4 linked regions of the Tamandua tetradactyla genome follow. The protein of the gene in region 3 purifies or fractionates together with the protein of the main gene of each other region. This does not show direct contact. Links are inferred from orthologs where the notes say so. Each region holds a gene or a part of one and is shown on either strand. Other genes may lie near its edges.

Region 1 (7,085 bases), on a different chromosome or scaffold from region 3:
GAGACTTCTGCTGCTTTTACAAATGGCTTTCCTTCTTAGTTTATTAAAGCTGCTGGAATGCAATATATCAGAAAAGGAATGGCTTTTAAAAAGGGAATTTATTAAGTTGCAAGTTTATAGTTCTAAGGCCATGAAAGTGTCCAAATTAAGCCACCAACAAGAGGTTACCTTCCCTCAAGAAAGGTGATACCATCTGGAACACCTGTCAGCTGGGAAGGTATGTGGCTGGCATCTGCTGGGGTCTCTGGCTTCTGGACACCTCTCTCAGGTGGTAAAGCACTGGCAAAGTGTGTTAGCTTTCCTCTCCTCATTTTATAAGGCTTCCCCAGGGGCGATTTCCTCCTGCATCTCCAAAGGTCTCTGGGTGCGTGGGCTCTGTTGGCACTAAAGCTCTTTCCAAAATGGTTCCCTCTTAAAGGACCCAGTAAGCAAGCCCACCTTGAATGGGTAGAGACACATCTCCACGGAAATCACCTAATCAAAAGTTACAACCCATAATTTCCATGGAAACATTAAAAAAGATCCCACCCAACAATACAGAATGAGGATCAAAGAGCATGGCTTTTCTGGGGTACATAACAGTTTCAAATGCACACACCCTCTGAAACATTCGTATAGTGATTTCAGGAGCGACTTTCAAACTTGGGACATTCATTTTATTTAGCGCTAAAATACCAGTTGGTGATGGTAAAAGTCTGGGTACAGTCGGGAGAGAGAAGTCACCCAGCAATTTCAACAGGGACAGTTTAATACAAAGAATTATCAACTACAACAGGAAATTAGAGAAAAGAGGGATTAGATAGTAAGAAATAAAGAGAACTCTAAAGAATACAGGAAGAGTGGATATGAACAGCAACTGAGACAGAATGTCCAAGGAAAAGCCTCCACCCTCCCTGGGGCTGAAATCCAGGACTTCTAAGAAAGAGCACAGAGGTTGCTGGGTGCCACTCTGGTTGGAACTTGCTGGAAACCTGCATTCCATGGTCCTAGGGAAAGCAGTTCACAGGAAAACATCTTATCAGAGGCACAAAACCATCAGAGGGAGTTTACAGGAAAAGCAGGCACACAGAAAATCAGCCTGTACCAGAGAAGCGGAGAGCTGGAAAACCTATTCGCTCTGCAGGAGCCTGCCAATAGAGCCCACCAGAACCAGGGAGCAAAAACTCTTTTACTGCAATGCCTCCCAAATGGTGTATTGACAAGTCTTAACATGGGACCAGTTGGCATAGAAAAAAATATTTAAAGGCCCCAGTTCCACTTTCACAGAGCAGGCAAAATGGGTGACTCTGGAGCTGAGAGGTTTTTAAATGAAGAACCAACACAGTGACATGCCATTGTTTCAGATAACAACAGATACCTCTCCTGGCCTTTCTTGGCTTTCCCTCCAGTCCTTCCAATCTTCCTCCCTTCCCTGACATCCTCACTATGAGCCCTACCACTTTATCATGCAACTCCTTCCGAACTGCTCCCTGCCCACCATCTCCCAGCCCCCCCCCAAAAGCCAAAGATGGAGCTGGTGGAAGGTTAATCTCTACACTGGGGCAGAGAGGGAGTCAGACCATGGGGAGGACCAGAGAAGTAAATATTATAGCAACCTGAAGTAGCTGACCAGAGGCAACAGTCTGGAAAGGAAGGGGCTGAAACCTGACTGGATCCGTTACTTCAGGGTGGAGAAGACGGAAGTTGAGGGAAGTAGAGACAGTGGCAATTCCGTAGATAGGGATAAAAGGCAGTGATATAAACTGAGGGAACAGGCACCAGGTTTAGCTCCAAGGCAGAGCATCTGGGAAGTGTTGAATTGCTGATGTCTAAAGTGCAAACCAGGGCAGCAACTCAAACCCAAAGCTTCTGATCCTTCCACAGGGGCGGTTCTTAGCAAAGGTCTGTAATGGACTGTCCCAACCATTTCAACACCCTGCAGCCACAAACCAACCTGACCCAACCCCACCCTACCCCTGCTGATCAGGAGCTCAGGCTAGAAGCTTCTACAGAGAGAGGTACTGAGCAGAGTAGTACCAGGGACCTGGTACCAGAAGGGGCAGGGGTGCTCTGAGAGGAAGAGGCAGTTGTCATCTTTCTCTTTTTATCTGTAGCCTGACATTTAGATCATTTATCAAAAACATTTAAATGTGTTTTCTCACTTGATCTTCAAAGCGCATTTTGAGATAAGAATGCAAAGGTTTATTGTTCCTATTTTATGAGACCACTGAGGCCAGGAAGAGTTAAGCAGGTAAGAGATCCAGAATTTCAAGGAGAATGAAACACTTTTGTGCCCTAGCAGCCAATCTCTGGCCACATCATCTTACTCCCCTATAGGTGGCGTGAGGCCTCTTACACTTGGATTGGCATATGTTGGCCACACCCTAAAATATGTACCCAGTTGGTGGTTAAGATAGGAATTGTTGAAATGGTAGTCACAAAGAGGGCAGAGGTGAATGCTGGCCCAAGCTGGGGCCAAGACTGCCACAGTCTGCTTTAGACTTCAACTTGATGTACCCCAAAGCCCCAAGCGTGGGTCATGGCAAGGGCCCTCAGTATCAGATTCTTAGGCTCAGGTCCTTTCTTTTAACTATCTCCATTGCCCTTGGTGCTGACTTCTTCAAGAGACTGGGATAATCAATTCAGATCAGGCCTGCTCTGTCCTTGAAGGTTTCTCCTGCCTTGGAGCTTGGAGAGCACTGGGTATTTTAGCAGGAAAGCCTAAAGAGAGGGTCTCAACTCACCAAAGCCACCATGCCTCCAAGGCACATCCTCAGGCACTAGACAGCTAGCCCTGACCTAGGAGTAGAGTGAGAAGGCCTCTAGGTGTAAATAGCTAAGACTCCTATAGTGGATCTCCAGAGGGCCAAGCAAACCTGGTGTTACAAAGAGAAGCTGTAGCTCCGGGAAGACATCTGTCTTGATGAGTCCTTGGGGCATTGGGGAGTCTTCACTGACCCACCAGCTCTCCCAGATTGTGCTCTTTCCATATCATCTTTTCTGTTTCATTAGTTGGGCGCTCAAACTTCTGATGATTTTACAGGACCGGGTGGGTGCCTCTGCATGTTTCCACTTGGTCTCAGATCTAGGATTCCAGGCTTCATGTTCTCTTGCTCTACCCAGAAGAAAAATTCCTTGATTTGGGTCACGGAATCCTGGGGCAGGAGAATTGGTAGCGGTATGGGTTTTGATTAGGCGGTAAGGGTGCTTTCCCATGAAGCAACCAGTATATTCCGACTTCCTCCCTACCCGCTCTTGGTAAAAGCTCCCACAGGTGCAGTCTTTCGCCTCTCCTAAAAGCGGAATCCCGTCCGCGATTCCCTACTGAGGAATTATTTACACCCCCATCTAGAAGCCAGCGGCTCCTTGGAGCCGAGAATAGAAGCGGGCGGAACGCCAACGCGCACGCCAACGTGGGTTATCGGTCTTCTGCATGACGCCCCTATACTGAGCCCTCTGCGCGGGCCGCAGACCCCGCCACAACTCCGGGAAGAGGTACACACCCTTCAGGTGAAGTGAAGCTCACTGCCCCAGCTTCCTCCTCAACCTCCATTCAGCCCAGTCTCCCTAGGACCTCGCGCGGAAAGCGGGGCCGGGGGGCATAGGAGCTCTAGGCGGCTCGGACTTCGGGGTGCCCGCCGCCCTCTCCCCAGCTCGGATCCCACGACATGGGAACTCCGTTTTGAATCTGTGTGACCGAGGGTAGCAGGATAGTCCGGAAAGATACAGGAACCAGCCTCAAATGAAGCCTCTCTAGGAAACTGGGGATTTCTCCTATCGTCAGCACTCAGTTCACGTTTATTGGCCTAATGACCAGAGGACCGGAAGATGCCCTTAAAAAATGTGGCGGCACTCTAGCTTCACTACAGCTGCTTCAGTAATTCAAGAAACCTGGAGCAGCCTTCGGCCATTGACTGGCCTTCAAAAAAAATGATGCCACCCTGTTCACTTCGGTTGATCGAGGATTACAATCTCTGCCCTCAACCAAAATGGCGACTGTGCCCAATTCGGCTCCTTGCCCCTAGGGATAATGGCCGCCGAAGCGGCTTCACTTCGCTTCTCTCCACTCCGGAAGACGGAGATTGTCGATTGGGCGGTGCCCGAAGGCTCAGAGAAGAAGGCCCTTGGCGGTTGGGCAGGGTTGGGTAAGGCTGGTTTTAAAGGAGCCGGGGGGTGGGAGCCGTCGAAGACCCGGGATCCACGGGAGGCGGCGGTGAGTGGCGCGCGGGGGAGGGCACGGGGCCGCTGGAGAGAGGGCGGGAGGAGGGGTGGGGGAGGAAACATTTGCACCATCTGGTTCCCGGGTGGGGGGAGCGCTGGGCGGGGATCCGGGGAGGGCCGGGGTGGGGGGGTGTATGTGGGCGGGACCTCCCGGGATTGGAGTGAAGGGGTATCTGCTTGACAGTGGATCTCCGGGGATCCGGACTGAGATCCGTGATGCTCAGGCTCGGACCGCCCCTGGCTGAGTGGAGCTTCGCAGAGCCGGAGCTAACCGGGGGAGGAGAATCCTCGCGCGGCGTCTGATTGGAGGAACCGCGCTGTAGGATTCTGTCCTCCGAGATCCAGTCTATGGGATCTCGGGGCGCGGGGGACCGTCGGTGTGTGGGAGTATTGCTTCGGAGGCCTCCGTCACTTGCTGGGAGTGAAGAAAGTATCACAGAGGGAGCCGGCGGAAGCGGCGCCTCCCAGGACCGGGATCCCAGCGGATCCCGGGGTATCTGAGGGCGAAATCTGCAGGGACAAAGGCCCCGGGAAGCTCGGGCCGTGGGGGTGAACTGGGGCGCCGCAATACAGGTTCTCGCGGCAGGTGCCCGGCAGGGCGCGAGTAATCCGCTAATCGCGGCGGCTGTGGCGGCGGCGGCGACAGCGGGAAGACACCCGCTTCGGGAGGCCGGCTGGGGGCGCCCTACCGCGTCTCAGGGCTCTGGCCCGTGGGCTCCCCGGCGCCGCGGGCGGACCATGAAGGGCGGAGCCCCGGGGGAGGGGCTGGCCCTCACTCCCCGCTCCCCCCCTACCCCAGGCTGCAGCCTGGGATCCCTCAGGGACCCCCCGGAGCCGCCGCTTTCCCCATGGACTTGCCCGGGGACTCCAGGTGAGAGCGCACCCCGCCCGCCTGTTTTGAGCCCGGGAAAGGGGGAGCCTGGCGACAGTACCGGGAAACCAGAGAGCCGGCGACCGGCTCAGTCGGCTGCCTCTGCTTTTCTCATCCTTTAGCCCGCCCGGCCCACCGCGTCTGTGCCGCCAGCCATTGGCCCGAGCATTATGGGGAGCCGGGAACCCGAAACGGCCGAGGCTTCAGCCCCAGGGAGCTCCTTCACCCCTGGAAAAGGCCTCTCGGCGGGTCCTGGCCGTGGTGCTGGAAGATGTCATGGCTGCCCACATGGTGAGCCCCTGGACTGAGAGACACCTCCGACATACGCGCGTGCGCGCACATGCGACTCTCCTCAGTGTCAAAGTCAGACCTACCAGAGTCCCAGTGAGGATAACTCAAGTCCAAACACCCCAGTCCCATGGCCCAGGCGGCCTCCATAGTGCTAGAATTCTCTTAGGCTCTCATTTGCTCCAACCTAAAATTGGGCAGGGTCTCCTGCCCCTAGTGGCCACCCACAACCCTGGTAGGCTGGCCCCACATCTCTGTAACTCAGTCCCAGCAACCCTTTGGCTTCCTTCTCAGCCCAGCCTCTAGGCAAGCCTTGGGAAGTAGGGTGAGGTCATTGACTCCACTTCAAAGGAGCGAAAAGTGGAGGCCCAAATTATGGCAGTGACCACTCCAGGTCACCTTCTGCTTTTCTTTTCTCCAAGCAACCAGGGTGAGAAAAATTACCCATGTCACATCCCGGCAGGTTAGGATACTCTAATTTTGGGTCCTTAATTCAGTCTAAGTTACTTCTTTGGGGATCTCAAGTGAATTCTAGCCACAGCCTCTGTCCTCTGTGTGGCTGGGGGCCCTGCACAGCCAACCTCATTCTGTTAGCCTGCACTTGACCCTTTATCTTCTCCTAGGTCCCCTTGGTGCCCCAAGAGGAGACTTCTGCTCTTCGACATCACAGCAACCATCAGGATTCTGCCTGTAGCCAGCCACCTGCCTTGCCACCCCAACAGGCCATGTGGTCCCCACAGGCCAGGTGAGCATGGGGATCAGGCAGAGCTGGGGACATGGCTGAGCCCCTCTGACCCTCCTGCTCCCTCTCTAGGCCTCCAGACCCTCTGCACTTGTGCCGTGAGCCCTTGAGCCGCATCCACCGGCCCCCTGCCACCCTGAGGCGGCGACCAAAGACAACCCCTGGCCCTGAGGAGGGCCCTTCACAAAGGGTGGACCAGGCCCCCCAGCCCACCCTGGTGGTGATGCTTGAAGACATTGCTGGCCCTAGATCCTCAGCCGAGGCACGGAAACTTCAGGTAAGGATGTCAAGTGTCAGAGTGCTGGGAGTAGGCATTCCACGGAGACAGAGGACAGAGGTGAGAAGCCTGAGTCTGGGGTGGATTTTGCTCAGGGCAAGAATGACAGTAGTTTACATGGGAGATGCTGTCTAAGCAAAGACCTATTTGGAAAAGTGTTTGATGTGAACCCAGGCATCTGGAGTCCAAGAGATGGAGATGGGGTGTGGGGAGCTAAAGAGGCTGAAGGATAACTTCCCTGCCTCCCTACAAATATCCCCTTTTTAATCCAGGGCTCTATCGGTGAGACCCCCAACTTCATCACCCCAACGCAAAGGTAAGAAAACTGGGGAAGGGGTCATCAAGATGTCCAGGCCACAGCCATGGTCCCTGGCAGCCAGGTTTAGGGACAGTAGGAGTTACTTATCCAGTCCTTTTTTCTAGCACCATTAGAAACCTTAAGGACAGGTGCTGGCTCAGGTGAGATCAGGGCCTGGAAGCTCCCCCAACCTTTCTTTACCTTGCCCTTTCACCCAGAGCTGAGTCCATGATGATGGTTCGCCAGCCCATGATTCCACCCAGGGACCTGGAACTGCCATTCCAGCCATCTACCTTGCCTGAAGAGCCTTCAGAGAGCACACCGCCAGGTCAGGATTTGGGTAGGGGGATGAAACTTGGGGCTCTGGGAAATCCTAGCTGACCTTGAAAGTGTCAGGTGCAGAGGTGGG
Region 2 (7,989 bases), on a different chromosome or scaffold from region 3:
AACGGACGGACGGACACACCTGCTCCTAACCCACCTCTCTGCTGTCCCACCCCCCGATGATGGAGGAGGGGTCCCTGCTGCCTTTGAAGGCTGACACCCCATCCCCGGATCCGCCCCTCCCTCCTACCTCATCCATGTCTTGCCACCACCACCCCCAGTCTCCTTCAATAACTGCTGGGTTTTTCTTCCCCCTTTGCAGCCACACTTCACAAAAGGGTTCCCTATACTCTGCCTCTACCTCTTATTTACTCTTCAGTCCACAGCCTTTGGCTCCTGCCCCATCTCTCCACCGAAACTGCTCTTTTCAAGGTCACCAGCAGCCACCATGTTGCCCACTCCAGGAGGCACTTCCCTGCTGTCGATTTTTCCTCTAGCTTCTCCGCAGCTTCTTGTTATGGAGCCCTTCCCCCACCTCTCCCTCCTTGCTAATCTATGCTACTGCCTTGGCTGCCTGACAACATGTGGTCTGGCTCCCCTCCTACCTCCCTGGCCACCTCCTCTCCGTCTTTGGTGGCTGGTTCCTCCTCTTCTACTATTCATGGTCCAGAACCAGGAGTTGATAACTGTGTGTTTCTAGGCTGGCTTTTCCTCTCTCTGTAGACCCTCTACCTCCTAGGAGACCTCCCTGGTCCCATGGATTTAAATAGCGTCTAAATGCTCATGAGTCTTCATGACTCCAGACCCAACTGCTACCCCGAACCCCAACTCCTGTCAGAGGCGTTCTTGACATCTCACGAGACTGTCTCATAGGCATCTCAAATTGAAGGTACCCGGGAAGACACTTCACTCGCCCTCCATACCTAGTCTCTCTACCCCCGAACCATTTCTAGGCCTGTATTACCGGCCGTGTTAAATGGTGCCAGCATTCATCCTGTAATTAAAGCCGGAATCCTGGGAGTTGAGCTTGACTTGGTTTCTCTGATCCCTCACTTCCAGTCCAGGCTGCTTGAGTCTTCCTCCAGAACAGAGCTCGAGAGTACCCTGTCCACTGCCTCCACCCTCGTCTCAGCCACCATCGTCTCTCAGAGACTGGAATGTTCTTCTAGCCTGTCTCCTGGCATCTGCTCTCCACAGCGGCTAGAGTGATCTATTTAAAAGAGAAGTTAGATTCTACCACACCTGCTTCGAATCTCCAATGGCTTCTCACCGCACCAAGAATAAAGCCTTGCCAAGTACATGGCCTGGTCCCTGCCACCCTCCCCGGCTTTATCTTGCTCCTCTCTCTCCATCACTCTTCAGGTGCCAGCCACATTGACTTTCTTACTCTTTCTTGAACGTATATCAAGCTTGTTCCTGCTTCAGGGCCTTTGCCCTTGCAGGGGGAACCCCACCTGGATTTCTCTTCTCCTAGCTCTGAATAATGCAGCTAAAATGTCACCTCCTCAAAGAGTCTCCCTGACTACCCTAGTGAAAGTAGGTTTCTTTACTGATTCCTCTAAGTTCTCCCCAACCAATGTTTTTTTGTTTCATGATTTGTATAGTGAAAAATGCAAGCAAACTTTCATTTAAATTATTTTAAAAATCACCTCCTATTTGAAGCCTTCCAGGATTTCATCTCCATTTAGTTTCCATCATGTTGATCAATTAAGCAGCTTGAATAGGAGAAATGAAATCTTTTCCACCAGCTAATCACCATCTTCATTTCTTACATTCTGATATATAATTCTTACAACAATTTAACGCTCCATTCTTTCTTCAGTAAAGCTTTATAGAACACAACCCTGTACTGGCACCAAACAGTTTACAGCCCAATAGTGCAGCAAAACAGGTTCCAGAATTATGTGGCCCTAGGTTTAAATCGATCCCACTTGTAAGCTGTGTGACCTTGGGCAAGCATTCCATTTACCCACTGCTGCGTAACAAACTACCTCAGAACTTAGTAGCTGAAAACAACAACATTTACTTTCTTCCAAAACTGCCACTGGGGCAGGTTTGATGGGACAGCTCATTTCTGCTCCACTTGAGGTCAGAGAGGGCGGCTCCAAGGCTGGGGGCTGAATCATCTGCAGGCTCGCTCTGTCCCATGCCTGCTGGGTGACACGGGGCCAAGCTGGAGCTGCTGGCTGCACGTGGCCTCTCCATGAGGCCTGGGCTTCCTCACGCCATGGTGGCTGGATTCCCAGGGCAAGTGGCCCAAGAGAGGGAAAGAGAGCCGGACAGAAGCCACCTTGCTTTTTGTGACCTATCCTCGGAAGTCACAGAATGTCATTTCTGCCACACTGTACTGGCTGAGACAGTCACAGAGATTTGCCCGGGTTCAAGGGGGAGGGAATGTAGAGCCCACCCCTCAGTGGGAAGTATGGATGCCATGCTGTAAGAAGAGTGATTGGGGTGAGATATACATTGGTGTGGCTGTCTTTGGGGGAAAAAAATCAGCCACGACAAGTCCCTTAACCTTTCTGAGATCCTTTATTGACGTGTTGAGCACAGATCCTGGCATATAGTGGGCACTACCAGGCTGGGTAACCACGAGGCTGGCTGGCAGCTGAGGATGGGCTTCCGGCCTTCATGGAGCCAATCCTGGGCTCCCAGCAAGGACTGGACCCTTGGTGGTCTCCCTGGTCCCCCCTCTCGAGGGCCTTGCTGCTCCCCAGGCTCTCCTGGGGCTGTAGTGAAGGTTGATGGCTCCCCAAATTCAAGGAACGTCAGAGCAGTGAAGATCCTTAGCCCCCAGCTCTGCCATCAATGTTGGGACCGGGAGTCAGGCCCAGTCCCAGCAGGGAGATCCAGGTCCACCCTTATCTCAGGACCACTGGTGTGGCCAAGGGGGTGTTAGGAGTGACAGAGCAGACATGGCTTCACACCATCCAACACCTCCAAGCCCACATTCAGCAGAGGGAGGAAACTGAAGCACAGAAACTGAACAATTTCCAAGAGTTACATAGCATCTGTCTGTGCCAGACCAGAACCAGCCTGCAAGAGCCGGGGACATCAGAGCTGGAAGGCACCTGTCATCTGTTACATCAGACCAGACCAGACCAGGTGGGACACTGAGGCCCAGGGACGGGGAGGGCTGCCCTGGGTCACAGAGAGGAAGCCCAGTGAGCCCACGTCACTGCCCAGCACCCTTGTCATATGCTGCACACACCCTGTTTGTGAGCAATCTTTTGTGGTCCATCTTCCCTTCAATCTGTGTGCTCCATGAAGTCAGGAAGTGACAAGCCCACTGCCATGTCCCTCGGTGTTCCACCTGTGCAAACAGGGCTGGGGGGGTGCTGGTGGGAGTGGACACTCATGGAGCAGGGGAGCTCGTGCCTTACCATGAGAGCCTGGGTCCTGCTCTCTTCTCGGCTCAGTGGGGGACACCCAGAGAATCTGAGGCTGGAGGTGGTGCCTATGCACCCAGGTCAGGAGGCAAGGCATGCCTCACACAAGAGGGAACACCCCAGGAATGTATTCACTGTAAGTGTGGGTGAGGGGGACAGAGACAGAGAGGTGGGCCTGGTGTCAGCTGTGTGCCAAGGCCCGGTGCAGAGGTGGAGGAAGCGGAAAAAGAGGAGGAAAAAAAAAGTGAAAAGGAGGAGGTAAAGGGGGCGGGGGAGTGGAGGAAAAGGAGGAGAAAAGGGAAGAGAAAAGGAGGAAGAGGCAGAAAAGGAGAAGAAAATGGAGGAGAAGGAGAAAAAGAGGAGGGGGGAAGTGGGGGAAGGGCGAATGGGGAGAGGAGGACGAGGCTGCAAAGGGATGAGCACACTGCTGCCGTCCTGCGTGGCGAGGAGGTGCCCTGCGGAGGGGGCGCCCACCCGCGGGGCCGTCAGAGGAAAAGGCTGGACTGACTCTAGCTCAGGGAGCTGCAGCGAGGCGCCGGGCATGGGGGGGTGCGGAAGGTGCGACAGACACGCGGAAAATCAACAACTCTGTCAGGAAGTCCCAGAGACAGCCCCAGAAAGAAAGAAACAAAGCTCCTCTGGAGCTGCCTCGCAGGGACACACGCGGGTCAGGCCAACCGTCCCGCAGCCCTGCGAGCCCACGCCGGGGCCAGAGCCCCCAAAGCCCCCACTCTTCTGACACTTCGTGACCGGGCTCCTGAAACTGGAGCCAGGGAAGGGGTGGGGGCGGGGTGCAGCATGCACGGCGTGACAGTCCGCCAAAGTGTGCAGAGGGGGGCACGCACCCAGGGCTCTATGGCCCCCACGCCCTTAGAAAGGAAGCCGACGACGGAGAGGGGCCCGCGTATACCCAGGAGGTGTGAGGCTGGGGTTCCTTCCTGGCTCGTCACGGACCTTGGGCTAAGGCTTCAGTTTTTGCATCTGTACAGTGGGATAATCGGCCTTGCTTTGCAAGATTAAGGGGGGCGGGATTCGTGCATCAGCGCACGCTCGGCGCCGGGCGAGGGTCTAGGGGTGTGCAGGGACGCGGTCTCCGGCTTTCCCCCAGTCCAGCTGGAGGGGGTGGGCGGCGGGCGAGCCGAGCAGGAGGCGCCGGAGCCGCGGCTGCCCGGGCCCGCCTGACCCTGGAGGGGGTCGCTGTTGCCTCGCAGATCCCTCCCTAGCTCCCGGCCTGCGTCCCTCCCCGCCGCTCCCGCCGCGTCCGCCTTTTGTTCGCCGAGCCGCGCGCCCCCGAGCCGAGGCGGCGGGGCGGGGAGCTGGCGGGGCTGCGCGGGGGGCGGGCCGCGCCGGGCGGAGCCGGGGCCCGGGCCGCAGCCGGACTCGGAGCCCGAGAGGGCGATCCGCGCTCAGGCGGCCGGGGCGCGGGTGCGCTGTGGAGGCGCGGCGAGGCCGAGGGGACGGGCGCCGGGCGCAGCCGGACCCGCAGCCGGAGCCGGAGCCAGAGCCGGAGCCGGAGCCGCGGCGCTTGGAGGCGGTCGGTTGGTTCCCTCCGCGCGCGGAGCAGCCGGGAGACCGTGCGGCGGGCTCGGGATCGGAGCGCAGCCCCAGGGCTGAAGCGGCCCGAGCGGCTCCGGAACCCTCCCCAGGGGCGCGGAGGCCGGGCGGGCCCGGGCCATGCCCACTGCTCGCTGAGGCCGAGGGAGGCGGCGATGGAGGCGCCGGCGGCCGAGCCCCCGGCCCGGGGCTGCGGGCCCCCGCCCGCGCCGGTCCCTGAGAGGAAAAAGAGCCACCGCGCGCCGTCGCCGGCCCGGCCCAAGGACGTGGCCGGCTGGTCTCTGGCCAAGGGCCGCCGCGGCCCAAGTCCCGGCGCTGCCGCCGCGTGTAGCGCCGCGTCCTCGGCGCGACCGGACAAGAAGGGGCGCGCGGCGGCGCCTGGGGCCCGGGGCCCGGGGGCGCGGGTGGCCGGGGTCCGCGCGGGGGTCCGCGCCAAGGGCCGTCCGCGGCCTGGAGCCGGCCCCCGGCCCCCGCCGCCGCCACCCAGTCTCACCGACAGCAGCTCGGAGGTGTCGGACTGCGCGTCGGAGGAGGCGCGCCTGCTGGGCCTGGAGCTGGCGCTGAGCAGCGACGCCGAGTCTGCGGCCGGGGGCCCGGCCGGGGCCCGAGCGGGGCAGCCCCCCCAGCCGGCACCTTCCGCTCAGCAGCCTCCGCGACCGCCCGCCTCCCCCGACGAGCCGTCGGTGGCCGCGTCGTCCGTGGGCAGCAGCCGCCTGCCGCTCAGCGCCTCGCTCGCCTTCTCCGACCTCACCGAGGAGATGCTGGACTGCGGGCCCGGCGGCTTCGTGCGCGAGCTGGAGGAGCTGCGCTCCGAGAACGACTACCTCAAGGTGGGGAAGCTGTGGGGGCAAAGGGAGGCCGCAGGAGGCACCGGCTGTCACAGCCCCATGGGTCTGAGGCCCCAGCTGGCCCACTTTCCCACTGAAGGGGCTGGAGAAAGGGACCCAAACCCTCTGGGGACCACCCTGAGATCCATCTGGGGCCCTCTGTCTTCTTAGCGTGCACGCAATTTGGGGGAAGCTCTCTTGGGAAAAGGAACCTGGATGAGACGCTGGCCAAGGGGGGCCCTGAATGTTTCTGGCATTTGGGGGAAAGGGGGCTTGAGAAAGCTGGTTTGGAGGTGGTCGGTGAGGGATTGGATGACTGCATCCCGCTACTCAGAGCCCCCCAGGCTTTCGTGGCTGGCCTTTTGGAGATAGGCATTCATGTGCATGGGTGCCAATGAACCTGACTGTGTGGCCTGGGAGCAACCAGGCTCTCCCTGCCAAGCAGAGGCCAGAACAGCATCCTGAGTCTTCAGCCAGGGCTTTCCCTGGCGCGGGCCTGCCCCCGCCTGCCTCTCAGGGCGGGTCCGGTTTGAAAGCATGACATCTGGGAACATCCCCTTGGCCAGAGTCCCACTTCCGCCCTGTCTAACGGTCCTATAGCCGGAGAGGATGATGTCGTGGGAGAACTGGTTCTGAGGCAGCTTCCTAAATCCTAGGCTGGCCCCCTGGCCATGTGAGGCCGTGCAGGAAGGGGATTCACGCTTATTGTCCTGTGCCCCTCAGGGAAGGCCCTGTGCATGCAGCAGTCCCATTGGCCCCTCTTGGCCAGTGCCTGTGTCCTTGTGTTCCCTGGTTGAGAGAAGAGAAGCCTGCCTGAAAGAGGCATCCCCACTGGGCGTGTGGGGACTTGTGGGCTTTCCTGGGACAGCAGGCTGTGCTCGCACACGTTGTGGACTGAGCACCTGCCGGGTGCAGGCCAGGCTCTGTGTGCCCACCGCCTGGCACTGTGACAGCTGTAGGGACGGCCTAGCCCTCGGATGTCATCCCTCGTCCTGGGAGGTTGTACGTTCACAGGCCCTGCTGCCCCTGGCCGGGTGCAGCTTTGGAAGAGGCTGCGGTGTTGCCATTCTCGTCACCTGATGGACTGGCACAGCACCCAGAAAACCCTGGCTGAGAGCCCCAACGTTACGAGCATTCTCTGGGTGATGTCTGCCCGGTGGCCCACACTTTGCTTTGTGTTGTGGCTCTTCTGGCCAAATGGGTTTCCCCGTCGGTAGAGTGTGGGGGTCTTGCTCAGCAGTGTCTGTCCCTCCCCATTTTTCCTCAGGATCTGCTCCCCAGCAGGCATTCAATATTTACGTGTAGAATAGTAGGACAGGGTGTGTCTGAGTCAGGATAATCCACCTCTTCAGCCTCTAGCCTTTCCCCAGGCCAGGCCTCAGTTTCCCCATCTGTCACATGGGACTGCAAGTCTTCCCAAAGGCCATTCCCCATGGATGATCAGGGTTTCAGCCAACTCTTATAGTCTGTGGAAGCCAGTGGTGAGGTGAGGGTAGGTGGAGCTGGGTGGGAGGCCGGAGAAAACCACGAAGGAGGGCTCTTGGCTGTGTCCTCCGGGTACTCTGAGCTGCTTCCAGCACCCCCTGCCCGCGCTGTGTTGAACTCAGACCCTGAGCTCTTCCCCCCTTGCCCACTGCTTGCCCAGGCGAGGGAGCATGGGTCCCAGAGCCTTGCTTCAGCAACTCTTTTAGAAACCCCCCCCAGGAAGTCATCAGACGACACTCTGGAGCCTGTCTGAGCCCCCCCCAGCACTGTTCAAATGAGGGAACAGTCCCAGAAGGCTGGTATTTGAACCCAAGCCCAAGGGGCCAGGGCTTAGCTGGAGACACCCCCACTGGTTCAGGGTGTGTGTGCAGATCTTTGGTGTCTGTAGCATCCTGGCTCTTTGATCTTTGACAAGTTTCTTTCTTTCTTCACATGGGCAGGCGCCAGGAAGCAAACCTGGGTCTCCGGCATGGCAGGTGAAAAAACTCTGCCTGCTAAGCCACCGTGGCCCACCCCTGACAAGTTTCTTAACATCTCTGGACCTGTTTTCTCATTTGTAAAAATGGGATAATGACACCTTCCAGCCCTAAGGGTTAAATGGGATAATGTGTGCAAAGCACCCCTAGAGGAGCTGGCAGGTGTGAGCCTCAGAGACAGCTGGTGTGAGTACTGCTATTCTCAAAGGTGTGTGACATATTCCCCTGTGCACCTGTCCTGGGGATGCTCTGGGCAGAATAGGTCCTCTTCATCCCTTGCTGAAGCATTTGGGCTCTGTCTCCTAACCCCTCATTCATTCATTCATTCACCAAGCATTTATTTATGACCTCCTGTGTACCAGGCACTAGCACAGGTCTGGA
Region 3 (7,778 bases):
ACCAGCACAGTGGGGTACCTCTGTTACAATTGATGAAACAATATTACTACTATACCATTAACCATAGTCCATAGTTCACATTAGGGTTCACGGTTCATGTTATACAAATCTGTGGACTTTTTAAATTTTTATTCAGGTAATATATATACAACACAGCATTTCCCATCTGAGCCATTTTCAAATACAAAATTCAGTGGTGCTCACAATGGGAGACAATATTTGGAAACAACATATCAGATAAAGGTCTAGTATCCAGAATTGTTAAAGAGAGTGTTCAACTCAACAACAAAAAGACAGCCAACCCAATTACAAAATGGGCAAAACACTTGAACAGACACTTCTCAGAAGAGGAAATACAAATGGCCAAAAGGCACATGAAGAGATGCTCAACTTCCCTGGCTATTAGAGAAATGCAAATCAAAACAACAATGAGATAATATCATCTCACGCCCACCAGAATGGCCATTATCAACAAAACAGAAAATGACAAGTGCTGGAGAGGATGTGGAGAAAGAGGCACACTTATCCACTGTTGATGAGAATGTCAAATGGTGCAACCACTGTGGAAGGCAGTTTGGCAATTCCTCAAAAAGCTAAATATAGAATTGCCATATGTCCCAGCAATACCATTGCTAGGTATCTACTCAAAGGACATAAGGGCAAGGACAACAAACAGACATTTGCACACCAGTGTTTATAGCAGCATTATTTACAATTGCGAAGAGATGGAAACAGCCAAAATGTCCATTAACAGAGAGTTGACTAAACAAACTGTGACATTTACATAAGATGGAATATTATGCAGCTTTAAGACAGAATAAACTTATGAAGTATGTAACAACATGGATGGACCTTAAGGACATTATGCTGAGTGAGATTAGCCAGAAACAAAAGGACCAATAATGTATGGTCTCAATGATATCAACTGACATTAGTGAATAAACTTGGAGAATTTCACTGGTAACAGAGACCATCAGGAGATAGAAATAGAGTAAGATATTGGGTAATTGGAGCTGAAAGGATACAGATTGTGCAACAGGACTGAATGTAAAAACTCAGAAATGGACAGCTAATGGTGCTAATTGCATCTGTAATATTGGGCTCCTATCACCACCATTACTAAAACTTTTCCATCAGTCCACATGGAAATGCTGTACCAAGTAAGCATTAACTCCCCGTTCCCTGACCACTACCCTGGCCCCTGGTAACCTGTCTCCCAGTTTCTGACTCTATGAATTTGCATATTCTAATGTTTTCATATAAATGAGACCATATAATATTTATTCTTTTGTGTCTATAGCCTTATTTCTCTCACATGATGTCTGCGAGGTTCAGCCATGTTGTCACCTGTATCATACCTTCATTCCTTCCTCTGGCTGAATAATTTTCTGCTGGATAGACAGACCACTGTCGTGGTCAGGTCCATGTATCAGCTTGGCCAGGTGGTGGTACCTGTTTGTCTGGTTGGGTAAGTGCTGGCCTGCCTATTGCTATGAGGACATTTCATAGAATTAAATCATGATCATGTCGGCTACATGAATAGCTGATTCCATTTGTGATCAACCAAGGGGAGTGTCTTCTGCAATGAGTGATGCTTAATCTAATCACTGGAAGATTTTCAAGGAGGATTCAGAAGAGACAGGATCTCTTCCTGCTTCCACCAGCGAGCCTCTCCTGTGGAGTTCATCCAGACCCTCCATCAGAATCATGAGCTTCACAGCCTGCCCTGCGGATTGTGGACTCTACATTCCCATGATTACGTGAAATACTTTAATCAATTTTATATTTATGAATATTTCCTGTTGATTCTGTTTCTCTAGAGAGCCCTAACTAATACAGACCACATTTTGTTTCTTAATTCCTCTGTTAATGGACACTTGGGTTGCTTTCATCTTTTGGCAATTGTGAATAATGCCATTGTGCTGGTTTGAAATGATGTATGTACCCTAGAAAAGCCATTTTTTAATCTTAATCCCATTTTGTAAGGGCATCCATTTCTTCTAATCCCTATTTCTAATAGGATTATGTATGTTTGAACCTGTAATCAGATCATCTCCCTGGAGATGTGATTTAATCAAGAGTGGTTGTTAAACTGGGTTAGGTGGAGACGTGTCTCCACCCATTTGGGTGGGTCTTGATTAGTTTATGGAATCCTATAAAAGAGGAAACATTTTGGAGCAGACGATTACGCAGCCACGAGAAGCAGAGAGTTCACCAGCCAGTGACCTTTGGAGATGAAAAAAGAAAACGTCTCCTGGGGAGCTTTATGAAACAGGAAGCCAGGAGAGAAAGCTAGCAGATGACATCGTATTTGCCATGTGCCCTTTCAGCCAAGAGAGAAACCCTGACGGTGTTTGCCACGTGCTTTCTCATTTGAGAGAGAAACCCTGAATTTCATCGGCCTTCTTGAACCAAGGTATTTCCCTCTGGATGCCTGTGATTGGACATTTCTATAGACTTGTTTTAATTGGGACATTTTCTCGGCCTTAGAACTGTAAACTAGCAACTCATTAAATTCCCCTTTTAAAAAGTCATCCTGTTTCTGGTATATTGCATTCCAGCAACTAGCAAACTAGTAACAACCATGATCATTGGTTGTAATGACTTTCGTTTTAATCACAAAGGCATCATCTGGCTATTATAAAAGTTCAGATAGACAAAATAAAAACAAAGTGGGATGGAAAAAAAAAGTTTTTTCTCTTGACCTGTTCTACCCTCAAAGTAAGCAATGTTCTATCTTGGTGCATATTCTTCCAGAGCTGCTTACATTCTTATCCAGACATACCCATGTACACACACGTCCACAGACACATACCCCTTCATGCCAAACATATTACTCTGCAATTTCCATTGTTAGCATAGCATAGATCTTCGACTTTTCCTCTTAGTACATAGAGATCTAACTGGTTCTTATGAGGAGTTGCTTAATAATCCATCGTTAGTGTACACACCCCACCCCACCCCCAGTTTATTCCTCCAAATAGTGGATTGTCCCATTTTAGACATTAGAGAATGATGATCAGGAAAGAAAAGGCAAGACATAAAGCAAAGAATGTTTCATTGTTCAAGAATCTCCTGGCTTTGTTTGACTGTACCCCTACCCTGAAATGAGCTCAGACGTAGCAAAATAATCCCAAATCTCAAACTAGGTATAATTTTTATACTATTACATAAAGCTTTCATTTTATTCAAGTAGGACATCAGGGTCAGCTCAGATTTGAATTTCAGCTGCCCTATTACCATTCGAGAGATCTGAAACAATTTCTTAAATTCTCTATGCCTCAGTTTTCTCATCCATAAAATGGTAGCAATAATGGTTCTTTACCTATCTCATAGGGTTGTGGGAGGAAGTGCAATTCATTATACTTAAGTGCACATCATTTGGCATTCATGTTGTCATTGCATGGACATTTCTTAAGAAAATACTTATTAAACTAACAATTTTCCTTGGGCATTTGGAGCCAATCATTTGTTCTTTCCCAAAGTTTTGTATGAGATTTAAAAAAAAAAAAAAGCAAAGCCTCATAGAACCTAGCTATTTCTCCTGGAATACATATTAATTTATTAAATCCTAAGTTTCCTTGTGTTTTAAAGAGCTGTTAAAAAAAAAAAAAAGCCTCAGCGGCTTTTTTTGAAAATTCCTCTGCGCTGGGTACCCAAAAGATAAAACCCCCCAACCCAAACAAAACCCGAGCAGTCCAGCATCACAGCAGGCAACCGTCCCTAACCCCCAGCTAAGATCCACAGCCTCGGTGGGCTCGGGTGGGCAAGCCTGGGAACACGGAAGGCAGGGGCTGAAATACCCCGAGTCTCACACATGCACTCTTAACACGTAGTAGTTTCCTGACCCGAGTGGGTGGGGGTGTGCAGACCCGTTGAGGGGGGTCCTGGCTCAGCCTCACCCTTCAGGTGGGAATGACCAAGTGGGCTTCCCATTCCCACCGCCCACAGGGTGGTCCCGAGGCTGCGGGAGGGGTGGGGTGACCGTGTGGAGTGAGGTACGCCCCGCGCCCACCCTGAAGAGACAGACGGCCACTCAGAACGACAGCCCCAGGCCCCGGGAGGGTTTTTTCTTGCTGGAGGGAGGCCCAGAGGACGAAGGCAGAAGGTAGGGAAGACAGGGGAGACCTCTATGGAGACATCTGACGAGTGAACAGGGGCTGCACTCTAAGGAGTTTGAAGTGCGACTTGGGAAAGGCTTGTAGGCTAAAAAAAGCAGGAAGTGCTCAGGCGGGGAGGAGCGAGATGTGGCTAAGAGGGCGAGCGGGTCGGATCCACGGGGTTCTTGGGTTTTACTCAGAGAACCAGGCAAGTCTCCTCCATCCCAGGGATAACCTGAGGACCTCCCGCTCCCTTCAATTCCCTCACAGGTACTCCAGCGCCACCGCCCGACACCCCAAAATGCGTGGGGACCCCACCCCTAGGTGACGTCATGCGCTCCAGGCGGCACACGCACAGAAGCCTTCTCCCGGACTCCGCCAAGGGCGGGCTACGCCTCCGCCCGGTCCCGCCCCTCGATGTAGAAACCACTGTTCATCTCGCGTTGCCAGCGGCAACGTAGGCGGCTGGTTGCTAAGATACCTGGTATTGCGGTTCCCCCCGCCCCTTGCTAGGCTCCGGCCAACCCAAGCTCGTCCATTCAACCAATGGCAAATGGGCAGTGGGCGGGACTTGATTTACTCGGACCAAAGAAACGCGGGCTACATCCGGCGTAGCGCAGCCAATGAGCGCGGGGCGGCCCCTGTAAATTGGCCCGAGCGCCCCCTCGCTCGCCGTTCCTCCGCCCCCGGCCCCGCCCCACCACAGCACTGTGCTGGTTGCGGTCTGACCCGAACGGAACGGAGCCAAGATGGCGGCGGCCGACGGCGATGACTCGCTCTACCCCATCGCGGTGCTCATAGATGAGCTCCGCAATGAAGATGTGCAAGTAAGAAGGCTGTAGGGGCTCGGGGAAGACGGCAAGGGAGACATGGAGGCCCTTGGAGGCCCTCGCGGAGGGGATCGCCTTTCGCCTGGAGTGGCGGCCGAGTTGGCGGCCAATCAGCGTCCAGCTCTCATCCCTCTGGGTCCCCGGACCCCATGAGACGGCGCTACGGATTGGGAGTCGGCGCAGCGGGGGGGTGGGAGCATGGGCGCGCCTGGAGGGTCCTGGGCCTGCCGAACGCGCGCGGTAGCCGGGGGTCTGGGAGGCCGGGGTGGGGGCACGGGATGAGGGTGGGTAGGGCCCCGTGATTGGCGGAGGTCCCGGAGTGGCCCCTTGACTGGGCGGGGAGCGGGCGCGGCCGTGTTGGCCAGGACTTGGGTGTGATTTCTTCTTCTTGGGTTTCCGCGGGGCCGCGGCGTGGGCCCCCAGAATGGGCTGCCTTCGCCATTCCTGCCCTCCTCTCCCATTTTGATGTACACCCTCAAAGAGGAGGAGGGCGCACCGGGGGGAAGCCAGCACTGTAGCAACCCGCCCCCTTTCCCCTCCACCCTATCCCCCCACTTTCCTCAGCCGGCTCACGATTTTCTCCTGAGTGGGTTGTTGGGGGAGTGTTATATATAGGGGGGCTTTGAGCCGGCTTAGGGCTTCCTGATAGACCTGGGGGGCCGGTCACAGCTCCACCGCCCACACGCTGCGTGACTTTGGGCGAGTTACTTCACCGCTCTGAGCCTCTTTTCCAGGCAGTGTGGGGTGATATAGTCCTGGCCTCACTGGGTGATTGTGAGGACTGATTGCGTTAAAAATATTAGTAAAACAGACGGCTTCTGGCCGATTGTAAGGGCCCAGCAAATATTAGCCGTAATTATTGTGAACAGTGCGTGAAGCCTCCCATCCTCCATCTCGTCCTCAGATTCCCACTTATAAAATCGAGGGGGATGCACTGGGAAATGTTCCAAGGCCGGGCAGGGCTCGGAGGTTTTGGGTGCCTCGCTCTCATTCTGGAGTCAGACAGGCTCCCCTTTGTCGAGTGAAAAATGGCACTTGACGGTGTTAAACAGGCAAGAATGACTATCCAGTGGCTGTTACAGCAAAGGGAGAGAGTTAAATTCAACTCTGCGGAAAAAAGGAAAGCCGGGTTTTTAAGGACTGGAGGTGGGTTGGAGGAAAAGCCTAGGAAGATAGCAAGGGGTTTTATCACTGGGATGGGGGAAGGGATTTGCTGAGGTTGCAGTTAGGCCTGGTTGGTTCCTTCAATGTGAGCAGGGATTTACTGGTTGCCTTCTGGACCACCTGGTTCGGAATGTTTTCTTTTGCTGTAAGGGCCAGGAGAAAGAAGGAGGGAGCTAAGGAACCTCCCAATTAGGAGCTTCTCAGGTGCCTGGGTAGCCAGGTGAGGGGAGAGGAAGCTCGGGGGTGAAGTTGCTGTTTACAATTGTTGGGGCCTAAAGTTGTCCTTTTTCCATTTGTCTTGTCGGCGGTCCGGTGCTCCCCACCCCTCACCCCCTTGCAGTTGGAGTTGTTTTTGTGTGCAGTCCCAGAGCTGCAAGATTAGTCAGGACCCAGGAGGGAGTGGGGAGGCATGCAAGGAGTAAGCTGACTGCTTGGTCAGTTTGTACTCCTCTCTCTTCAACTTCTTGCTGATTGATATGGACAAGTTAGGTGAGTCTTGGTTTCTTCTGACAAATGGGGATAAATGTCTTGTCGGCCAGGCAGTTGTGTGAATTCACGTGTTCAGTAAACATCTGCTGAGCCTCAGGTATGGTGCTGGGGCAATAGCAGTGACACTGGTTGCTCTTCAGGAGACAGGTGTGAAGCATGTCGACAGCTAAATATAGTCACACATATGAGACATGGTGGGCAGGAAACAAACACGATGTGATAGTGGGCCTGCAAATATCTGGAGCCTCAGCTGTGCACTGTCTTTGGCACAGGTGTTTAGCAGAGGATGAGAAGGACATTTCCTGGCTTTGTGGTGCTTATCAGACTAGGGCTGGGAGATAAACAGTAAGCAAAATAAGTAAATTGAATAATATGTGAAACAGGGATAAATACTATGAGGAAAAATAAGAGAAATGTGGAGTACAATTTTAAAAAGAGTGGTTAGGGGAGCCCGTGCTGAGAAGGTAATATTTGAACAAAGATACCAGATTTGCTGGTACAAATTGCAAGAAATGTAATGGCTTAAAACAACAGAAATTTGTTATCTGACAGTATTGTAGGTCCAAAGTTCTGACATGGTGACTTGACTAGGTAAAATCAAGGTGTCAGCAGGGGTATCTTCATTTCTGGACACTCTAGAAGTGAACCATTTCCTTGCCTTTTCCATCTTCTAGAGGCTTTCCCCATCTAGTACTTTCCTCCATCTTCAGGGCCAGTGAGGGTCCTTCTTCCTGATTTTTCTTTCATAGTCTCCTTTCCCTCTCTCACAGTCCGGAGAGATTCTCTGAGTTTCAAGGATCGATGTTATTATATTGAGTCTGCCCAGGTGTTCTCTAGGTCCTTACCCAGATCACATCTGCAGGCTCCCTTTTGCTTCATGAAGCTGCATAATACTTGGTGATTCCAGGGATTGGGTAGTGGACATCCTGGTGGGGCTTTATTCTGCCCCCCACAGTCACTGCATTGGAAGGGGGAGATTGAGGGACAAAGTGGTAAAGAGGGGATGGTGAGTGTGCTTTTTTTTTTTTAACTTCATCAGTTAATTTAGCTTTTTTTGTTTGTTTGTTTAATCCTTGCAGTTTTAAATGTTACTGCATTGAGGTCAGTGAAGCTGAACTTGTTCCACAGGAATTTATATTTATGGAGTACTGGGTATTGGGCTGCCTGATGAGGCTACAGCTGTGAACAGACCACA
Region 4 (7,201 bases), on a different chromosome or scaffold from region 3:
CTGCCCTCACCAAATTCCATGATCAAAAGGAGTCCACAGAGCCTACGAGACCTGCATTCAGAGGCCAGTTCTGCCACTTCACTGGTTCTATGAACTTGGTAGGGTCACCTAACCTCTCTGAGTTTCATTCTCCTCAGCAGTAAAATAGCGGCAAAAGCATATATCTTACAAGACTGAGGAAGGTTTTAAGAGAAATAGTATACTAGATGCCTGGCTCTGTGATCTGTGAGCTAAATCAGCAGAAATGATCATCATTTAAAATTCATACTTGGTTTAATTCTCCTTCCCATAACATGTTTATTAATCTCTGGTTCTCACATACTGACTGATTCAGGACTAATTCAGAGTTCTCTCTCAATTATCTAGAAATATATCATCCAATCCAGTAGCCATTAGTCACATGAGGTTATTTAAACTTAAATTAATTTAAAATAAGTAAAGTTAAAATTCAATATTTCAATTGTACTAGCCACATTTCAAGTACTCAAAATCCACATGTGACTGGTGGCTACTATATTAGACATCATTGATAAAGAACATTTCAATCATTGCAGAAAGTTCTATCGGTTTAGGAGGGTTATAGTTCCCTTTGGGTCCACCTAGATGTGCTGATTTCTTTAAAAAAGAAATGAGGCAAAATGGATCAACCTATTCACTCACCAACAGTGGCACATACTTGGATATATGGTTTAGGGTTAGGGTCAATGGAGGTGATAAATCCAAATTAACAGTTGCTTTAAGAGGAGAGAAGTTTATTTCTTTTTCATGTTAAAGTCTAGATGCAGGCAATCCAGGGCTGTTTTGGCAATTCTGCTTTCCAAAGTCTGGGGTTCCAGGCTCCTTCCTGCTTTCTGCTCCTTTCTTAGGAGGTTGCCCTTAACTTCATAGCCCAAGATGGAGTTCTGTCATTTCCAAATTCTAGGCAGGAAGATGAAATAGAGTAGGAAGGGGAAGACACATGCCAGTTGTCTTTTAAGGAGAGTTCCCCGAAGTTTTCGCCTGACATTTCCATTTCCATTGAGGTAGAGTGCTAAGGAGGCTGCTGTGAAATGCAATCTGCATTCATGTGCCCAGCTAAATATTCTCTCCTTAGGCTCAACACCTGAATGTGAAGATCAGGTTAGGAAATACCAGCGAGAAAATGAAGCCACTGAATCTGCACATTCCTTTTACCCTGGCAAGTAAGAATTTGCCAATTGCAGTTCAGTCTGAGGAGATGGAATGGTGTGGCAGAGGTAGCAAAGTCTTTCCCAAATCCAAGTCAGGAGGGGACTGTGATAGAGCCTTCTGGATTGTAACTGTAAAGGAGGTAAAACTGCTTCAGTCTGAAGTGATTGTGGTGCTGACTGATGGCTGGGGGATGTGTAGGGGTTGGCCTACTTGGTGTCAACTAAAACAAGAGTCATAGAAAAATAATATATTTGTGTCCCCAGAGAGATATATATCTATATTCAATGTATATATATTGAAGTGGGATTGCCAAATGCCTAGCCTCAGTGCTGTATATAGAAATATCAGCAGAAGAGGGACAAATAATTCATTTTGCTTACTGGAAGTTCACTTGAACACCGCCAGGTCTTCCTAATTATGTGCCTCCTTATCCTCTCTGGTCTGTGTCCAGCCTGCAGGGTGGGCTTCCCCACCAAGAAGGAATGTTTTGGGCAGATCATATTGGACATCAAGTTGGGCCCATTTCCTATTGTAGATGAATAAATGGACATTCCTGTTTGTCCAAACTCCTGTGAGTTTGGTTGGCACAAAGTAATCTTCTGAATAAATGGATAAAATCAAGTTCCTAGATCAGCAAAGGGCAATTTGCCGTTCTGTTTGCAAGTCTTATAGACTGTATGACCCTCAGCATACTAACCCTGCACCTGTAGTGACACCACCATGACCTGAAAACCCCCATGAGTAACATTTTTTTTCCTGAAAATCACACCCATTCACTTGCTGGATTCTATAACTCCAAAGGAACCCTGATTTTTTTTGTTTCCATCAAGAGCTAAAATTGCTGAATCTTGTTCTCCTCTGGCATGAATTATTTCTCAATTTCACATCAGAAAACCCAGAGGAAGAATTCTGATTGGCTCAGTGCAGACCAATCAGCTGAGGTGGGGGAAGGGTCATTTAAACATATGGGACCACATGGTTGGGATGTGGGAGAGGGAAGGATGCTAAGCAGAGAAAACATTAAGCTCCGTTATGAGAAGAAATACCTGTCATTTAGGTAGATGCCAGCTGGCATGGGAAACTGAAGATAAATATGAATAGTATAGATAGAGTTAGATTATAGAAGGCCAAGGAAAATGATGGTCAGTTCTGGGTGCAGTGTTTTAAAATGAAGATAGACAAACTGTTATGCGGCCAGAGTACAGCAATTAGTAGACTGCCTATAAATTGTATAAGGGCGCTAACTATTGGTGCATTGTCTTAGTTTCTTGGCTGCTATGACAAATACCACACAATATGTTGGCTTAACAATGGGCATTTATTGTCTCATGGTTTTAGAGGCTCAACAGCTTGCTTTCTCCTGGGTCAGTTGTGTTCTGGCAGGCTGGCCATCCTTGGGATTCCCTGGTTTTCCCGTTGATGACCTCTCCCTTCTCTTTTGGGTTCCAGATGACTTACAGCTTCCAATTCCTCCCTGTGGCTTCTCTTTCATAAAGCCTTCTGTAATAAAATTAAGACCCATCCTGATTCAGTTGGTCACACCTTACACAAAAATAACATCTTCAAAAGGCCCTATTTATAATGGGGTCATGTTGCTGGGAATGGGATTAAGATTATTACTTTATTTTTCCTGAAGTACATAATTCAAACTATCACAGGTGACATTAGGTTCAACAAGGGTGGAGAGAGATAAAAAACAGACAACAAGATCTCAATAGAATTTAGTGTTGGTGAGAAGAAGTTTTAAGGAGAGGAGTTAATGATAGTCAAGGGTTTTCAACCTAGAAGAATGTGAGCTTTTACAGAAATAGGGATGGTAAAAAGAGGAATTAACATGGAGAAATAAGATGCATTCAGTTTTAGACATTGTTCTTGAATTCGAGATGCCAGCGGTATATCCCAAAGCAGGAATAGATAGCAATCGGTGGAAATGTATGCTGGGTACCCAAGGAAAGACATTATCAAACTATATGCAGATAACACATATTTGGGGCTAGAAAAGAAAATGCCTACTGGGCTTTGGAGATAGGCTATTTAAGGTTGTGGGAAGAGAAAAAGGAAAGAGCCAGTGAAGGAGGCAGATAAGGAAAGTCTGAGGGAATAAGAGAGGCATTGCAGAGTCTGAGAAGCCAAAGCAGAATTTAAAGAGGAGAAGTCATGGAAACTAGTGATGGAAGAAACTTGGAAAAGGAAGTTGAATTTTAGAGAGGTTCTTAGGAACTTTGTAAAAGAACCGTTTTAATGTGCTGTATTGGGGATAGGGCTGGGAGCAGACTGCCAGTGGTTACAATTTACTCAAATTCTTGCCGCATGCTTAAGTCCTGCAACACTATGTTAAGTGTTGGGGAAAGGAAGGCCAGCATAGTCTGGACCTAAGAATGTCATAGAGAGACAGAGGAAGAGAGAAGTGAATGAATAAGATACAATGTTAAGAATGTAATTAATGCCACTGATTCGTATACTTGAAAGCTTAAAATGGGAAATGTTATGTTGCATTATGTTACCACAATACAAAAAAAAAGTTGAAAGTTCTTTAACAGAGATATGTCCAAGATATAATAGAATCTGCAGAATGGGAGGCCCGCGGGGTGGATTTGGGGCGGGGTGGGCAGGGTGGTTTGCTGTGTAGATGCGTGGTGGGTATCTAGGAATCCCGCGGGGGCACTTCCAGCAGAACCTGCTCTCTGAGCCATGGACAGCTCTTGGGGGTAGGTGCGTGGACAGCGGGCACGAGGAGACCCGGGAACTTGGGGTCTTAGGGGAACTGGCAATATTTGGGTTCTGTTTGAAAGATGCAAGGATTGGATTTGTAGCCGGAAGTGAGATGAAGGAAGGGGAGACAAAAAAACGACTCTAAATTTTCTCCATTCTTACATCGGACAGAAAAAATCAGGAGGGACAGAGAAGAGAGAGGGTCTATTGGGGAGCTGGCGGGACAAAAGCCTCAGTTTGGCTGGCTCCGGCTTTCTTGCTAACCTGCCCGGGTTATGCATCGGGCCGGAACTTTAGTGTCCTAATGCCTGGTTGAGCGCCGGACGGGAAATCGGGAGGGAACTGGACGGAAAAAAGTGGGGCACCGGGGAAGAAGTCACCCCTAGCAGCCGGCGTTGACTCACTGGTGAATAGTACGTTCGGGATGTGGGAGGGCGACCCTGCTCTGGCAGGTGAGGGGCGGCAAAAGCCCATCCTCGCGTGGCAGGCGGCAGGGTCTGGGTTGCCCCCCGACCTGGGCCGGGTGCTGAATGCCGGGCCCCAGTGTTCGTTTTGGCGCTTACTGTGTTACCTCGGGTAGTTTAATCTTCCTCATCTCTATCATTGAAATGGTACCTCGCTCAGGGTTGTTGTGAGGAATCAGTGAAAATACGTTTAGCACAGTGTCTGGCACATGGATTTACAATCTTTATTAACAAGCTTGTTTCTCGTTGTCGACAAAGCTCACCTTTAATCTGGCCGGGTATCCAGTTAATGGATTTTACTTTGTGTTTATTGGTAAAAATATGAAGGAAAACATTTATAACTAAAGTTATATTATTAGAAGGAACCGTATTATTGAGGATTTGGAAAATAGAGCCAATAATGTTACTCAATCCCGTCACCTTACAGACAATTTTTAAGCCTTTTCCCCTCTTCCTTTCTTTTTTTCCCCCTAAAATATGTTTTTTTAAAAAAATTATTTATTACTTTATTTTTCTTTGTTAGAGAAGTTGTGGGTTTACAGAACAAAAAACAAGACCACTCCATAATCATGTTTGAAGGAAGCAAAAATCATGAACATTGTTCCGACCACAAAAATGACCAAACATCCCATCCTGGCTAATATGAATGAATGCTGCTTCCTTACAAATTATGGCATTAACCTCACTCTAGTCTTCTTTCCTTCTAGATAAGATTTAAGATCATACAGTTACTCACACTTCCTGACAGTATGCTCCCCCAAATCACATAACACATGCACAAATCCTATAAGACCTCTCTAACACTCTTACTGAGATGACCATGATTCCCTATGATTGTTCCTGCACAAGGAGTAAAAAATCCAACTTGTTCAACTACTGGCATGTTCTTGGTGGTCTTTGAAGAGAGTTGACACCGTTCTTCCTCTATATTCTCATAAGCTCCTGTGCCTACCTCTCATAGCCCTTATGTAATATTATGTAATATTAGCATAAATGTTGCTGGTAAAGGCAAAGTTGTTATTTTATGAGAACTATGGACATAATATTACTAATATCTTACATATAGAGAGGCAACAGCATCTGGTGGAAGGATTTAAGGCCTGGGTTCTAGTTCCAGTTCCCATGCTGATTAGCATTGTGATCTTAGGTAAGTTACTTCATCTTTCGGTGTCAGTTTTTCTACAGGAAGAAATTATCTACTTGACTTGTCTCACAGTAGTCTAGTGTGGATTAAATGAGGTAAGATGATTTGAAAATAGAATAATATTTAAATGCGAGGTGATGGTGTTATGGCTACTACTGTTCATGATCCATCTTTGAGAAGCTCAAAATAATGACTGATAATCAAAGCTTTGTTACTCAGAGTGTAGGCCTTGCACTAAGAGTTTGTTAGACGTGCAGAATCTTGGGGCCCTCATCAGGCCTACTAAATCAGCACAGCCTTTCATTGCTGTTATTCTGTCTCATCTGCAGAAGAATCCCTTAATGTAGGTACAGAAGACCTCAAAAGATCAACTGGTTTACCTGAGGATAAACAGCATTATGAAGTTTAGCTATATGAAATTGTTGATATCCACAACATTTACAACCCCATAAGTGGGCACAGCTGGGTATCCAGTCTAGTTTTTCTGACTCCCCTTACAATGCTCACACAAATATAGCCCTTCTTTTTATAGGTGAAGTGCTAAAGTTTTAAGTCTGTTGGCCCACGTCCTACAGTGATTAATTGAATATTTTGTTTTAGGAACCTATTGTTTTTTAAGAAATCCAGCGTGAACATTTGCTTTAAAATTGACACAACTTCTCAAGATAGCTTTCAGCACATACTTGAATTATTTTGGGATTCATTTTTAGCTCCGTGAGGATGGAGCCTGTGTTTTTTTTTTATTCATCTTTAAATTCATCTTGGTATTATTCACAATGCATAATATATGCTTTGCTCATAGTGGGTGCTGGATAAATGTTTATAGAATTAGAATATAAATTCATGAATGTCATCATACCTGTCCTGGATTGAAATTGAAATTGTAATGCATTCATTGCTACACGGTAACTCTTTCAACGTCTCTTCTGTTACAGGTGGAATTGGGCTGTTCATTGAAGCTTCTTTCCTTGGTGGTCCAGGGAGAATTTTACATTTTGACTTTTTCTTACCATGGCTTTGGTTCACAAATTGCTGAATGGCATATATATTCTCAGAAAATGCCAGATGCCAAGTGCTGCCTCACATCTATTCCTGGGTACTCACTTTGCAGACTATTGTTCCAGTGGTCTTCAGAAACCGGTGGTTGCTCCTAGCAAAGCTTCCCCTCAGAGGAAGACTGAAGAGGGTTTGCAAGGACATCACCATAGAGAAGCTGCTTTGGACATACCTTCTCCTGATGAAAAGCCTGAAATTAGTTTTGAAAAAGCAATTCAAGAAGAAATAAAGGACCATTTTAGGCGCTTGAAGGATGATTTTGTGAATCGTTGGAAAGGGCCTGAAGGCCACCCTTTACATGAAGTCTTGCTGGAACAAGCTAAGGTTGTCTGGCAGTTCCGTGGAAAAGAAGATTTAGATAGGTGGATAGTGACTTCTGATAAGACAATTGGAGGTAGAAGTGAAGTGTTCCTGAAAATGGGCAAGAATAACCAAAGTGCACTACTGTATGGAAATCTGAGCACTGAAGCACCTCACGACGGGGAGAGTGGCCGCAGTGGGTACTGTGCAATGATATCCAGGATTCCAAGGGTAGGTGAGGTGCAGTGGCTACGGTTTCTTAGTGATATGGGGTGAACTTTGTTGTGACATGAACTAAGCAGGCAGCTTTTGTTCCAGTAAATGAAAACACCTGGCACATTGTTTCAGTTTGTTA

What was found.
Region 1: the proteins of PPP2R1A (region 3) and PRR14 purify together in Homo sapiens (affinity purification with mass spectrometry; 5 studies listed by BioGRID and IntAct, counting the BioPlex papers as one, with this or other methods). This does not show direct contact. The link is inferred for Tamandua tetradactyla from reciprocal best matches to the Homo sapiens genes PPP2R1A and PRR14.
Region 2: the proteins of PPP2R1A (region 3) and MTCL2 purify together in Homo sapiens (co-immunoprecipitation; 3 studies listed by BioGRID and IntAct, with this or other methods). This does not show direct contact. The link is inferred for Tamandua tetradactyla from reciprocal best matches to the Homo sapiens genes PPP2R1A and MTCL2.
Region 4: the proteins of PPP2R1A (region 3) and NDUFAF1 purify together in Homo sapiens (affinity purification with mass spectrometry; 3 studies listed by BioGRID and IntAct, with this or other methods). This does not show direct contact. The link is inferred for Tamandua tetradactyla from reciprocal best matches to the Homo sapiens genes PPP2R1A and NDUFAF1.

Annotation. Positions count from the first base shown.
Region 1 is NC_135349.1:23,881,252-23,888,336, reverse strand, and holds the start of PRR14 (proline-rich protein 14), read left to right. Parts: upstream 1-4,085; 5' UTR 4,086-4,192; intron 4,193-4,582; exon of another isoform or gene 4,583-4,693; intron 4,694-4,999; 5' UTR 5,000-5,048; coding exon 5,049-5,071; intron 5,072-5,193; coding exon 5,194-5,362; intron 5,363-5,982; coding exon 5,983-6,104; intron 6,105-6,173; coding exon 6,174-6,378; intron 6,379-6,650; coding exon 6,651-6,694; intron 6,695-6,894; coding exon 6,895-7,004; intron 7,005-7,085. UniProt on the Homo sapiens protein: Functions in tethering peripheral heterochromatin to the nuclear lamina during interphase, possibly through the interaction with heterochromatin protein CBX5/HP1 alpha. Might play a role in reattaching heterochromatin to the nuclear lamina at mitotic exit.
Region 2 is NC_135327.1:15,452,365-15,460,353, forward strand, and holds the start of MTCL2 (microtubule cross-linking factor 2), read left to right. Parts: upstream 1-4,975; coding exon 4,976-5,650; intron 5,651-7,989. UniProt on the Homo sapiens protein: Microtubule-associated factor that enables integration of the centrosomal and Golgi-associated microtubules on the Golgi membrane, supporting directional migration. Preferentially acts on the perinuclear microtubules accumulated around the Golgi.
Region 3 is NC_135342.1:8,986,165-8,993,942, forward strand, and holds the start of PPP2R1A (serine/threonine-protein phosphatase 2A 65 kDa regulatory subunit A alpha isoform), read left to right. Parts: upstream 1-4,765; 5' UTR 4,766-4,849; coding exon 4,850-4,927; intron 4,928-7,778. UniProt on the Homo sapiens protein: The PR65 subunit of protein phosphatase 2A serves as a scaffolding molecule to coordinate the assembly of the catalytic subunit and a variable regulatory B subunit.
Region 4 is NC_135340.1:55,000,412-55,007,612, reverse strand, and holds the start of NDUFAF1 (complex I intermediate-associated protein 30, mitochondrial), read left to right. Parts: upstream 1-4,201; 5' UTR 4,202-4,295; exon of another isoform or gene 4,296-4,334; intron 4,335-6,425; 5' UTR 6,426-6,501; coding exon 6,502-7,077; intron 7,078-7,201. UniProt on the Homo sapiens protein: As part of the MCIA complex, involved in the assembly of the mitochondrial complex I.